Saccharomyces cerevisiae S288C: one gene and its partners. The gene in region 1 interacts genetically with each later gene. Each region holds a gene or a part of one and is shown in the gene's direction. Other genes may lie near its edges.

The links. Genes that interact genetically often act in the same process or in processes that back each other up.
Region 2: mutations in CAP1 (region 1) and AIP1 together harm fitness more than expected from each alone (negative genetic interaction), as found in Saccharomyces cerevisiae (5 studies listed by BioGRID, with this or other methods).
Region 3: mutations in CAP1 (region 1) and BBC1 together harm fitness more than expected from each alone (negative genetic interaction), as found in Saccharomyces cerevisiae (4 studies listed by BioGRID, with this or other methods).

Annotation. Positions count from the first base shown.
Region 1 is NC_001143.9:427,586-432,195, forward strand, and holds CAP1 (Cap1p), read left to right. Parts: upstream 1-1,716; coding exon 1,717-2,523; downstream 2,524-4,610. Other genes in the region: sphingosine N-acyltransferase LAC1, read right to left, coding at 1-966; SFT1 (Sft1p), read right to left, coding at 2,613-2,870, 3,012-3,047; 60S ribosomal protein eL14 RPL14A, read left to right, coding at 4,321-4,449. UniProt on the Saccharomyces cerevisiae protein: F-actin-capping proteins bind in a Ca(2+)-independent manner to the fast growing ends of actin filaments (barbed end) thereby blocking the exchange of subunits at these ends.
Region 2 is NC_001145.3:451,132-455,082, reverse strand, and holds AIP1 (Aip1p), read left to right. Parts: upstream 1-1,603; coding exon 1,604-3,451; downstream 3,452-3,951. Other genes in the region: snoRNA-binding rRNA-processing protein UTP15, read right to left, coding at 1-1,068; NPL6 (Npl6p), read left to right, coding at 3,718-3,951.
Region 3 is NC_001142.9:398,437-404,125, reverse strand, and holds BBC1 (Bbc1p), read left to right. Parts: upstream 1-1,715; coding exon 1,716-5,189; downstream 5,190-5,689. Other genes in the region: MPS3 (Mps3p), read right to left, coding at 1-1,229. UniProt on the Saccharomyces cerevisiae protein: Involved in the regulation of actin cytoskeleton.

The DNA of each region.
Region 1 (4,610 bases):
ATTTATGTAATGACGCAAATAAATCCACGCAACAACAAAGATAGCAAAAGAAAAAAAAGCCAATCCAGAGTCCAAATAATTTAGAGTTTTGGAGAATGACAAAAGAAAATCAGAAACATCCATTGTGATATAGATTGGCAGTCCCATTTTAGTGAAATGAAATACGTAGGAAGACCAAATCAATAGTAAAGTAACAATATGATGGAAAGTCAACTCGTTATGATCTTTTCTTGGCTTTTCTAGTTGCAATACAAGAATGCAGGCTTGTTGAGCCCAAAATGCAGCTTGACCCAAATAGAATACCTTGAATAAGAAGGGATTAGTGAAATCTGGATATGTTCTGTACATTGCCTTTGTGTTGAAAAACCATAAATCCGAATGGTACATACAATATATCCCGAAAGGACCGGAAACACCGGTGTAGAAAATAGCGTACATTTGTTCCATGATTCTTTTTATTCTGTGCTTAGAAGTGACGTGTAACCTAATAGCGAACGGTCTAATGACAACATCCATTAGGAATTCACGTAAGAATGTGAAAAAAATCATATAGTAAAATACAAAGCACAAATCGTTAATACCTTTACCATATGCGTTGGTATCACCTATTTGGTATGACACAGCGACAAATCTATGTAACACATTTGTCTTTGTAGTGTTACCAGAAGTGAAATAGGCACTATATACCGCGATTAAAATCATCAAGGGAGCTATCCAGGCATGACGGTAACTTATCTCTCGGAATGAAAACCAGATTTTCTTGACCAGGTCGCTATCATTTTTGGTGGCTTCAGATAATCTCTGCATACGCCTTTTAGCAGCCGTTTTAGATTCTTTTGTCTCGAACATAGTACCTAAACTAGGTACAGTGTCCCCGAGGTCGATCTTACCTATGGAAGACTTGCGTCTTGGTCTTGACCTCACTTTCAAATTGTTGTTTGAAGGGCTTGGCTTTATTGTCGACATAGCTCTTGTTTATTGATACTGTGTCTATCTAAATGTTTACCGGAGGTATGAATAATAAAAACAATAGCGATCAACCGACAAAAATATCTGTATGGAACAGAAAAACGGTAACGAACAAGAAACTGTAGTTTTAACTTAAATCAGGTCCGGATTATAAAGCCGATGTAGCAGAAAAACGGGTTCACGGAATACAATAGCCAAATAACAATAAATAAATAAATAAATAAATAAGAAAAAAAAAAAGCAAGTAAATAAAACAAAACGGGATGCAACAAGCCAAGGAGGGAAACAATAGAAAAATAACTTAAAAATCTTTGTCTAGATTCCAATACTTTCTCCCTCCTCCCACGTTATTTGTCTAGCATGATCAGGTACAATGCCCACCGATATGAGAAAAAAGAGTGAAAAAAAAAAAATGACGAAAATGGTTCCGCGGATCTAGCAACTTTGTTGGAATGACCGGAAAAGACAGTTGTTTCCTTTCCAACTATTTTTCATTCCTGGTCTTTTTCCTGTTGAAGCCCAGCATTTTTTTTTTCGCGTCGCGTTTTTTCACAACAGTTCGGATCACGTGATAATCACTGCACGTGACTATCATGTGATACGATAGCCGGGTTATGATCCCCTTTTTCTTCCTATTGGAATACTGATTTTACAGTGGCTAGTACTGGATTTGAGTATAGGAAGGTGTTAGCAACTGTAAGGTACTATTCAGACCGTTAATCCAACGGATCATAAGAGCGACAGAAAATGTCTAGTAGTAAATTCGAAGAGGTCATCAACAAGATCATCAATGACAGCCCTCCAGGAGAATTAAGGGAAGTATACGACGATCTAATCAAGATCACAAGTGAAAACTCCAAAAATACTATTTTGGATGCTATTGAGAATTACAACGTGCAGAATTGCATCCCTATAGAAGTCAACGGGAACTCTGTAATTATTTCCAAATACAACAAGGAAGGAGCAAAGTTTTTTGATCCCGTAAATTCCGTAATATTTTCAGTTAACCATTTAGAGCGCAAGGGCCTTGACATTGAACCATATGAGTTCACGCATGCAAAGATAGAGAAAGGGCAATTGAAAGAACTGCACGATAAATTGCACGAATATCTTCTTCAGAGCTTTCCAGGTGATGTCAGTTTTGCTGTTTACCCAGTCCCTGAGGAAATAAGTAAAATTTCTATTATTATTGTTAGCACCAAATATAATCCAAACAATTTCTGGAACGGCCATTGGAGATCAAGCTACATCTACGATTTGGAGACCAGGGAGTTATCCGGTCAAATCTCTACGCAAGTCCACTATTACGAAGACGGTAACGTTAGTTTCCAATCTGGGAAGGATATCAATCAATCTAACGTTGATGACGTTGTTTGCACAATAAGGGATATTGAGACGAATTTCGAAAATGATCTAGATCTTTCATTTTTCGACTTGAACGAAAAACAGTTTAAGGCCTTAAGAAGAAGATTACCAGTCACGAGATCCAAAATTAACTGGGGTAGTGCGATTGGCAGTTATAGATTGGGTAAGAATGCGGCAGAAGGCAAATGAAATTTCATGCCTGCCTTATTCCATTCTCTTCCTATTTCTTAAATTGAATACATCTATGTACATTATTTATTTTTGGCTTGATTGGCTCACTAAAATAACTTAAACAGGGTATATAGAATGAAGAATATTAATAACGCCAAACCCACCATTCTCCATATGCTATTACCAGCCTTTAATGATCGGGTTAACCTTGAGGACGAATTTTTGATATCGGTAAACATCGATCCCAATGAATCTGTCATTTGGTTTATGACAGAACTGTCAGAGACCGCTCGGTCTCCAATCTCTTGGTTTATGTTTCTGAATGTAGCTAATTTATTGGCTAACCCCTCTAGTTTCCTATCATTCTGTTTAAAGTACATGTACATGAAGGGATGATACATCTGCTCATCCGGTGTACAGAAGCAATAGTTAGTAGCTTATAACATCCATATAGCAAGCTAGGTCCCATTCTAAACACCTATGCGTGTTGCCGGTGATTTACATACGTTTGATTCGGTCTGAGAATACCTAGAATTTGACATCGCTATGATGATTATATATTACCTTTCTACCGTTCTCTCCTTGTTGAGTTCTTCCAGTATCCTTCTTAATGATATACCTTATATTATTTCCTCTTTTTTTTTCTGCATGTAGCAATGCGCGGCTTCTTGCAATAACAAGAAAACTAGAGTAGCTAATTTACTGCATGAACCGTACATTCAGCAACAAGAAACATAAGATACTTACCGCACAATATTCATTGGTCAGTTACCGTACACACGAAGATCCTTTCTGAGTAGCGTAGTTTAAGGGAGCACACATTTTTAAATTCTAAACATTGCCTCAAGATGTTCTCCCATATACAAGGAAGGAATATTGAGCAACATGGTTAATCTGCCAGTTGCAACAACGCAAGTGTTATTAGAAATATTGTTCAAGGAAAATATCAGATAAAAAATTTTTCGCACTTCGCTAATCACCCATATAGAACATGGCGGTGTTCCAAGTGATTAGCCCTAGATCGCAAATTATATCATCATTCAGTTACCTTTCTCATTGAATCTTCTTGATAAGAACTACTGGTACCTCAAATAGGAACGAAATATGATACCACTGTATCATACTATCATTCTCAACACATTTGTTATATATTTTATGTTTCTACTGAACCTTTTGTCAGTCATCTCACTAGCAGCTGCGATTAACAGTCATCGGATATTTAAAATTGAAGCTTTTAAAATTGAAGCTTTTAAAATCAAACATGAATACACATTGGAGTTCACTGAAGAAATTAGGTTTAAATAAAAAAATCCAGCATTAGTTGTGAAGTAAAAAAAGACAAAACCAGCAAATTCTTGCCAGAATGTAACTATACTCTGAGTAAAATAATTGACAGCGCAAATACACCCATACACTATTTTTACATCTTGACATCACATACATAATATGTGTGAAATATCAAATTTTGAGTGTCCGTTATCAATTTTTTTTCGATTTTGCATTTTATGAAGCTTCAAACAGGTGTCGGCCTAACTTTCCGCCCGGAAAAGAGCGGTTTACGAGAGATTGCTGCTTGCAGCTGCGTGCATTTTTCCATAATCGGGTTTCCCTTCAGCGCGCAGTGTTTCCATTCTCAGCCCAATTGGCAACGGAGAGAGCGTAGAGCTTTCAGTGGACTGCCCTTCGTACTCGTCGAGTACTATTGAACTGAAAAAAAAGTAATCTAAGGTTAAGTTGATCAGGTCTGCCGATTGTATAACAAATTTAATTGTTTGTCTTAGTGAACAAAGAGAGTCGTGAAAAATAAAATAAACAATGTCCACCGATTCTATTGTCAAGGCTTCTAACTGGAGATTAGTCGAAGTTGGCCGTGTGGTTTTGATCAAGAAGGGTCAATCCGCAGGTAAATTGGCCGCTATCGTCGAAATTATTGACCAAAAGAAGGTATGTTAAATCCGGAAAACCTATCATCGATTTGAGGAGGGAAATGAACGAGGAATGAGATTTAGGCTACGAAAAAGTGCTGGCAAATATCCAATCCGTTACCATGGATGAAGCTACTTGTAAACGATAAGTAAATGTGAAAATACACATTGCGATAGAGA
Region 2 (3,951 bases), on another chromosome or scaffold:
GTTATTACTTTTCGCATTCTTATTAAAACTGGCGGGTGCGTTTTCTTTATCGGAAGAACGTTTCTCTTTCTTTTTAGTTCTAATGGCTAGTAGTCCTGATGATAAACCTGCTACTAAATGCCTATTCCCTTGTGCGGTACTAGGGGAGACAGCACAACTTAGTACGGGACCCGAAAATTTCCAGCCAAATTTGACTTGGAAATTGTCTAAAGGATCAAAGACTTTGACATGACCATCTAAGGAAGAAGCGATCAACGCCGATTGCATTGGAGAATCAAAATTTTCAACATAGTCCAAGCATGTCACAGCCTTATTGAAATTGCCACGTTCGTATAATTTCTTGTTACTGGTCAAGTCCCACACTTTGAAATTATTGCCACCGCAAGAAACAATTTGGGTTGGAGATACTGCAATAACATTTTCAACAGGTTGGTCATGATTCAGAGAATAAATTGGCGTGGATCCGCTAGATCTTGTGTCATATAATCTGATCAAACCGTCGTATGAGCCTGTTGCAACCAAATGTGGGGCTGCTGGGATAAATGATAAGGTACGAACATAGTCAGTAGCTCCGGTGAGCTCTAATTGTGGCTCATATGCGTTGGATATATCCCAAAGTCTTGTCACTCTATCGTCACTCGCCGTAGCCAGAATTTTGTTATCTTGCGTATGGAATTTCGTAACATGTGTGGGATGTGTGGAAGCGTTTATAGATAAAAGGATAGTCCTGGGATTATAACTGTCGTATACAGACACTAAACCGGTAGCATCACCGGCACAAAGCAATTTACCATCACTCCTAAAGGATGCAGAATAGACAACATCTTTAAATCTTGAAAAGGTCTTGATCACTTGCCTAGTTCTTGAAGAAAATATTTGAACTCTGGTTGAGGAAGTTACTGCAAAATCATGAGGATGTTGAGGATTGAATGATATGTGAGTAACGCTATTATGTTCTTTAACCAGTTGTGCGGAAGTGTATTGACGCCAGTAACGCTGCTCCGGGGTAGTCTGTTGAGGCAATAATGGAGCCTTCGAAGTGATTATTCTAGGCCTAGCAGTCGACATTTTATTTCTATATTATGATCCTTAGGCCTGTTCTTAGCAAAAACTGTTTCAAGGGACTTCTATTAGTGATGGGCATCGTTTTTTCTTCAAAGCTCGAAAGTTTTCAAAATTTTTCAGTTATTCCAAAAATTTTCAAAAGATAATTATCACTAATTACGAGGTATGTAGGTCACAGAACGTTAAATATTATGCTTACTTGGGGTGAATGACTAGAAACTGGAGGTGTATCAATACTAGCTATTGCTTTCCGTTCATAATCAGAACTGAACGCTACCAAGACGTTCTGAAACGTTTTTATTGGTCTCTAGTGTCCCGTTCGTTTGTTTTCGAAACAATGAATTGTATATGATGTACGGATGTTTTCACCCTGTAACCTGCCACCTTTTCTACCGAAGGCATATATGTCAGATCTTTGATTAATGATCATTATTTAATTATAAGGGGAAGCAACTCAGCACTATTCTGCCTTTTGCAACTCGCAAATACAGTTTTTAAGGTATATTAACGGGCAAAAGTAGCAAAGTAAACAAAAATAATGTCATCTATCTCTTTGAAGGAAATTATACCACCTCAGCCTTCGACACAGCGTAACTTTACTACGCATTTATCGTATGACCCTACAACCAACGCAATTGCTTACCCATGTGGAAAATCTGCATTTGTACGTTGTTTGGACGATGGAGACAGTAAAGTACCTCCAGTAGTACAATTTACTGGTCATGGCTCTTCGGTAGTCACAACGGTAAAGTTCTCTCCAATTAAGGGTTCCCAGTACCTATGCTCCGGTGACGAATCTGGAAAAGTGATTGTTTGGGGATGGACATTTGACAAAGAAAGCAATTCTGTTGAAGTGAATGTTAAGTCTGAATTCCAAGTTTTAGCAGGTCCAATCAGCGATATCTCCTGGGATTTTGAAGGGCGAAGACTCTGCGTTGTGGGAGAAGGTCGTGATAACTTTGGTGTTTTCATATCCTGGGATTCTGGTAATTCCTTAGGTGAAGTTTCAGGTCACTCACAACGCATCAATGCTTGTCATTTGAAGCAATCTAGACCTATGAGATCTATGACAGTTGGAGATGATGGATCTGTTGTCTTTTATCAAGGACCTCCATTTAAGTTCTCTGCCAGTGACAGAACACACCACAAACAAGGCTCATTTGTCAGGGATGTTGAATTTTCACCTGACAGCGGTGAATTTGTTATTACGGTAGGGTCTGACAGAAAGATTTCTTGCTTTGATGGCAAATCAGGTGAGTTTCTTAAATACATAGAGGATGATCAAGAACCAGTTCAAGGTGGTATATTTGCACTATCGTGGCTTGATTCCCAAAAGTTTGCTACCGTAGGAGCAGACGCTACCATTAGGGTTTGGGACGTCACGACTTCAAAATGCGTTCAAAAATGGACCTTAGACAAGCAACAACTGGGAAATCAACAAGTTGGTGTTGTTGCAACAGGAAACGGAAGGATTATTTCTCTTTCACTGGATGGGACCTTAAACTTCTATGAACTTGGACATGACGAGGTTTTAAAAACCATTAGTGGTCATAACAAGGGTATTACTGCTTTGACAGTCAACCCACTAATCAGTGGGTCATATGATGGTAGGATTATGGAATGGTCTAGCTCTTCCATGCACCAAGATCACTCCAACTTGATTGTATCATTGGATAATAGTAAAGCGCAAGAATACTCCAGTATTTCTTGGGATGATACTTTGAAAGTGAACGGTATTACTAAGCATGAATTTGGATCGCAACCAAAGGTTGCTAGTGCGAACAATGATGGCTTCACTGCAGTACTAACAAATGATGATGATTTGTTGATATTACAGTCTTTTACGGGCGATATAATCAAGAGTGTAAGACTGAACTCACCAGGCTCTGCCGTTAGCTTGAGCCAAAATTACGTTGCAGTTGGTTTGGAAGAAGGTAATACTATTCAGGTATTCAAATTATCAGATTTGGAAGTCAGTTTTGATTTAAAAACACCTCTTCGCGCAAAACCCTCGTACATATCAATTTCGCCATCTGAAACATACATCGCTGCTGGAGATGTTATGGGCAAGATATTGCTATATGATTTACAATCAAGAGAAGTGAAAACTTCAAGATGGGCTTTCCACACCAGTAAAATCAACGCCATTTCATGGAAACCTGCTGAAAAGGGAGCAAACGAAGAGGAAATTGAAGAGGACTTAGTTGCCACTGGTTCTTTAGACACCAATATTTTTATTTACTCCGTCAAAAGACCTATGAAAATCATTAAGGCGTTGAATGCTCACAAGGACGGTGTTAACAACCTTTTATGGGAAACACCATCTACCTTGGTTAGTTCTGGTGCGGACGCTTGCATTAAAAGGTGGAATGTTGTCCTCGAGTGAGATAAGAATATAAAGTAAACAATTACGTAACCTTAGAAAAATAGATATAAAAAAGTTTTACACTGTTTTTACCACAGTCCATATAAACTTGTAATTATTACCCGAATGCTTTGATTACTTCGCTCTTTTAAAAAAAAACCCGTTCGAACTATTAAACATGTTACTGTGAGCAGACAAAAATATTGCAAGAAAACAGCTTTATAAAGTTTAAGCATTACTGAATACAGTACATTTACTTTTGAAGAAGGAAATACCATCTAGCAGAAATGTCAGATTCAGAGGGAGGTCTAGCTTCCGAAGTTGAACATGAGAAGCGGTCAAGATCTACTAGCAACAGACCCAATTATGCAATTGATACTGAGGATTTAGATATTGATGAAAATGATGAGAATGAAGATGATGATTACAGAGAAGAAGAAGCCAATGAGGGAGTGAATGAAGAAGAAATAAGTGATGAGGAGGAACAGATAAATAAAAGCGGAAGAAACAAAAGGAGGCAC
Region 3 (5,689 bases), on another chromosome or scaffold:
TACTGCTGTGGCACGTTAGAATAATCCTGTTGAACCTGCTGCTGCTGCTGCTGCTGCTGTGTCTCTAACCTATTTGTGATCTCTTCCCAAATCTCCTGTTTGTTAGATTGCAACCTTCTGTTCATTTCTTGGATGAAATAATCCTTATCGATATATTGCAACTCATTCGAAAGAATTTCCTTTACATAGCGATTCAAATCATACTCCCAACGACTTTCAGCGCTTCCAGCAGTACCAATGCCTGGAGACTCAATAACGTCTGAAATCAAAGCACTCAAATAATTGTGCAATTCAGGGATTATTAAAAGCGACGAAGAATTATTAATTACAACGGGTATTTCTTGAGGGAGGTGTGTATCCAACTGTTTTACCAGTTGATCTTGCCATTGAGTAACATTCTCGACCGTAAATTTGTGATTTCGCCTCTGTAACTCACTCATGGAAGTTGAAATTGTCTCAACCTGTTTTGTCAGCGAGTTAATGTCATTTTCAAAATTAACCAAATTTGAGGGTAAAAGTCTTTTAATATTCTTTTCAAATTGAGAGACAATGATTTTTACTGTTTTATCCAATTCTGAACTGTGCTTTTCGTCCCGCTTACTCAACTCACTATATAAATGATTCACCTGTTTTTGTAGGTTGCTGAATGATTTGCCTGGAGAGGATGTAGCGCCGGATGAATGGCTTTCTAAATCATTATTTTTCACGGTTGTCATCAAAAAAGATCCAAAAAAATAAAAAACGAAGAAAAGGCCTCCATAGAAAATGTACGTCCGCCACTTCAACTTCTTAGCTTCACCTGAACTTTCCAAGTTCTCTTCAAAGTCAGAATTACTTTCCAAATCGTAGCTGTCGGAATCGCTGTCTTCTATAAAACTCTTGTCTGCCTCATCTGTATAGTCCTCGTCGCTATATCCGTCGGTCTCTTGTCCATTATCCTCAATGTACGGATCATCATCGTCGTCATCATTATGTTGGTCTAACGGAAAATCAAGATTTTTTTTGAACATTTCGTACGCGGAATCATTCTCTTTATCCATATCATAGTTGTCAGTTTCACCGCCATCGGTGTATATCCCTTTTTTGATGGCTCGTAGGCTAATCTCCTGTTCCCTATTCATTTTGTCCTTGAGGACATCTGCATACGCGGACTTTACAGCCTTATTGTAAGGCATTTGTTCATTAGCCGCTCCTGCCTCTTCCCGCCTATGCTCATTTGAGTTATTCATTTCCAGCACTTCCAGGATAAAAGTTACTACCAACTGAAAACAAGAGAAACCGCCGTGAAACTATGGAGCACTACAGTTAAAACACCACTAACTCCACTCTGTTGACTTTTATCTGTAACTCCTCATGACAACCTTGTTGATAATTATCTCAAGATGACGATATTTACATTGTCATTATATTCCATTTTCGCGTCTCATATGTTACCCGTATCAAAGAGTATAACCCTATCAATAAGTGATGTGTATCATTTATAAACCTCATATTTTAAGAATAAACCTATATAATATAGGAATATACCCTGAAAATAGTTAGAGGTCTACAATGCCCCTATTTTACCTCCAGAATTATAATCTCCTTAAGACTTCAACTAGAAGTGGTATTTACTAGCACACTGTGAAACAGTAGCGTCAAGTCGGTAGTAAACATCAATCGCGTCCCAACTGCAAGAGCTACTAGAAGTAAACACAGTCTTACCCAAACTAAGGATGAGTGAACCCGAAGTGCCCTTCAAGGTGGTGGCTCAGTTCCCATACAAGTCCGATTACGAGGACGATTTAAATTTTGAAAAAGATCAAGAGATTATTGTTACGTCTGTTGAAGACGCCGAATGGTACTTTGGTGAATACCAGGATTCAAATGGCGACGTTATTGAGGGTATCTTCCCGAAAAGTTTTGTTGCTGTTCAGGGATCTGAAGTTGGAAAGGAAGCCGAATCATCTCCGAATACCGGTTCCACTGAGCAACGTACAATCCAGCCGGAAGTAGAACAAAAGGACCTACCAGAGCCCATTTCCCCTGAAACGAAGAAAGAAACTCTGTCCGGGCCAGTGCCAGTTCCAGCCGCTACAGTGCCAGTTCCAGCCGCTACAGTGCCAGTTCCAGCCGCTACAGCAGTATCAGCACAGGTCCAGCATGATAGTAGTAGTGGTAATGGCGAAAGAAAAGTTCCCATGGATTCTCCAAAATTGAAGGCTCGCTTATCTATGTTTAATCAAGATATAACGGAGCAAGTTCCTTTACCAAAATCAACTCACTTGGATTTAGAAAACATACCTGTGAAAAAAACAATTGTGGCAGATGCTCCTAAATACTATGTCCCCCCTGGAATTCCAACAAATGATACGTCCAATCTTGAAAGGAAAAAGTCCCTAAAGGAAAACGAAAAAAAGATTGTTCCCGAACCAATTAATCGTGCACAGGTGGAAAGTGGAAGAATAGAAACTGAGAATGACCAATTAAAGAAGGATTTGCCCCAGATGAGCCTTAAAGAAAGAATTGCTCTTTTACAGGAGCAACAAAGATTACAGGCTGCAAGAGAAGAAGAACTCTTGAGAAAAAAGGCTAAGCTCGAACAAGAACATGAACGTAGTGCGGTTAACAAGAATGAGCCCTATACGGAAACTGAAGAAGCAGAAGAAAATGAAAAAACTGAACCGAAACCTGAATTTACGCCTGAAACTGAGCACAACGAGGAACCGCAAATGGAATTATTGGCACATAAAGAGATTACTAAAACCTCACGCGAAGCAGATGAAGGCACGAATGACATAGAGAAAGAACAATTTTTAGATGAGTACACAAAGGAAAATCAGAAAGTTGAGGAGTCACAAGCAGACGAGGCAAGAGGAGAAAATGTTGCTGAGGAAAGCGAAATAGGTTACGGCCATGAAGACAGAGAGGGAGATAATGATGAGGAAAAAGAAGAGGAAGATAGTGAAGAGAATCGTAGGGCCGCATTGAGAGAAAGAATGGCTAAACTATCTGGCGCTAGTAGATTCGGTGCTCCTGTTGGTTTTAACCCCTTCGGTATGGCTTCTGGAGTTGGAAATAAACCATCAGAAGAGCCGAAAAAGAAACAGCATAAGGAGAAGGAGGAGGAGGAACCTGAACAGCTCCAAGAACTACCTCGTGCCATACCTGTTATGCCATTTGTTGACCCAAGTTCTAACCCATTTTTTAGGAAATCAAATCTAAGTGAGAAGAATCAACCCACTGAAACAAAGACGCTAGATCCTCATGCAACCACAGAGCATGAACAGAAGCAAGAACATGGTACACACGCCTATCACAATTTAGCTGCTGTTGATAATGCACATCCCGAATACTCTGACCATGATTCTGATGAAGATACTGACGACCACGAGTTTGAGGATGCAAACGATGGGTTGAGAAAGCATTCGATGGTGGAGCAAGCTTTTCAGATAGGTAATAATGAGTCAGAGAATGTTAATTCCGGAGAAAAAATTTACCCTCAAGAACCACCAATCTCCCACCGTACTGCAGAAGTATCACATGATATTGAAAATTCATCACAAAACACAACTGGAAATGTTTTGCCTGTCTCTTCCCCACAAACAAGAGTTGCTCGCAACGGGTCGATAAATTCTTTGACTAAATCCATTTCAGGGGAAAATCGGCGGAAATCCATAAACGAGTATCATGATACAGTTTCCACTAATTCATCTGCATTAACAGAAACCGCTCAAGATATTTCGATGGCAGCTCCAGCAGCTCCAGTTCTAAGTAAGGTGTCACATCCTGAGGACAAGGTGCCACCTCACCCAGTGCCTTCTGCACCCTCTGCACCTCCAGTACCCTCTGCACCTTCAGTACCCTCTGCACCTCCAGTACCTCCAGCACCTCCAGCACTCTCTGCACCTTCAGTACCCCCAGTACCCCCAGTACCTCCAGTATCTTCAGCACCTCCAGCACTCTCAGCACCTTCAATACCTCCAGTACCTCCAACACCTCCAGCACCTCCAGCACCTCCAGCGCCTCTTGCGCTGCCTAAACACAATGAAGTAGAAGAACATGTCAAGTCATCTGCTCCCCTTCCACCTGTATCCGAGGAATATCATCCTATGCCAAATACTGCTCCGCCACTTCCACGTGCACCACCAGTACCACCGGCTACTTTTGAATTTGACTCTGAACCAACAGCCACTCATTCACATACAGCTCCTTCTCCTCCACCACATCAAAATGTCACGGCCTCTACACCTTCAATGATGAGTACGCAACAACGTGTGCCAACCTCAGTACTATCTGGGGCAGAAAAAGAATCACGAACCCTACCGCCCCATGTGCCTTCATTGACGAATCGTCCTGTGGATTCATTCCATGAGTCAGATACTACACCGAAGGTGGCCTCTATAAGAAGGTCAACGACGCATGATGTAGGCGAGATTTCCAACAACGTCAAGATAGAGTTTAATGCACAAGAAAGATGGTGGATTAATAAAAGCGCACCTCCTGCTATAAGCAATCTGAAGTTGAACTTTTTGATGGAGATCGATGATCATTTCATTTCCAAAAGATTACATCAAAAATGGGTGGTAAGGGATTTTTACTTCTTGTTTGAAAACTATTCGCAACTAAGATTCTCCTTGACCTTTAATAGTACAAGCCCAGAGAAAACGGTAACGACTCTTCAAGAACGCTTTCCATCGCCAGTCGAAACACAATCAGCACGTATTCTTGATGAATACGCTCAAAGGTTTAATGCGAAAGTTGTAGAGAAATCTCATTCATTGATAAATTCACATATTGGGGCTAAGAATTTCGTGTCACAAATTGTATCCGAATTCAAAGACGAAGTTATACAACCCATAGGAGCAAGAACGTTTGGCGCAACTATATTGAGTTATAAACCTGAAGAAGGAATCGAACAGTTGATGAAGAGCTTACAGAAGATTAAACCAGGTGACATTCTTGTAATTAGAAAGGCCAAATTTGAAGCTCATAAAAAGATCGGAAAAAACGAAATTATCAACGTTGGAATGGACTCCGCCGCTCCGTATTCGAGTGTTGTTACTGATTATGATTTTACAAAGAATAAGTTTAGAGTTATCGAAAATCACGAGGGAAAGATTATTCAAAACAGCTACAAGCTAAGCCATATGAAAAGTGGGAAGTTAAAGGTTTTCAGAATTGTTGCGAGAGGATACGTAGGTTGGTAATTTACCCAATGCTTCCAAGGGGAAATTGTGAATGCTTTCGATTTCATCATTTTCCTTTCGCATTTTCTTATCGTTATAGTTTAAGTGTATATTTTCATAACTCTTCTACAGAAGAAACTATACAAAGATTAAACAACCGTTTTTGTATCAGGTCTTATTTGAGCGGCTCAAAACGAAAGGTAGGATTCACTTATCTTACCGCCGTCAATAGTATCCCAAGTTGTACCTTTTCGTATATACCTACAATTCTGGCTTCAGACGCAGTAATTTTTGAGCAATCGTAACAAACGGTTTGCCCCTAGAGTTTGAATTTTTCTTCATCACTCCATGATAGTGCTCTCATATATTATCTTACGGAAATTAATCCAATATAGGTGCCCAAAGGTTGAAATTAATACGAACTTTGACCTGGCCTTAATTATCGATTCTAATACTATCTGAGTTTAAAGAACTTGCGGGGAAGAAATACGGAAAACATAGAAAGGCGATGGCAGATGAAG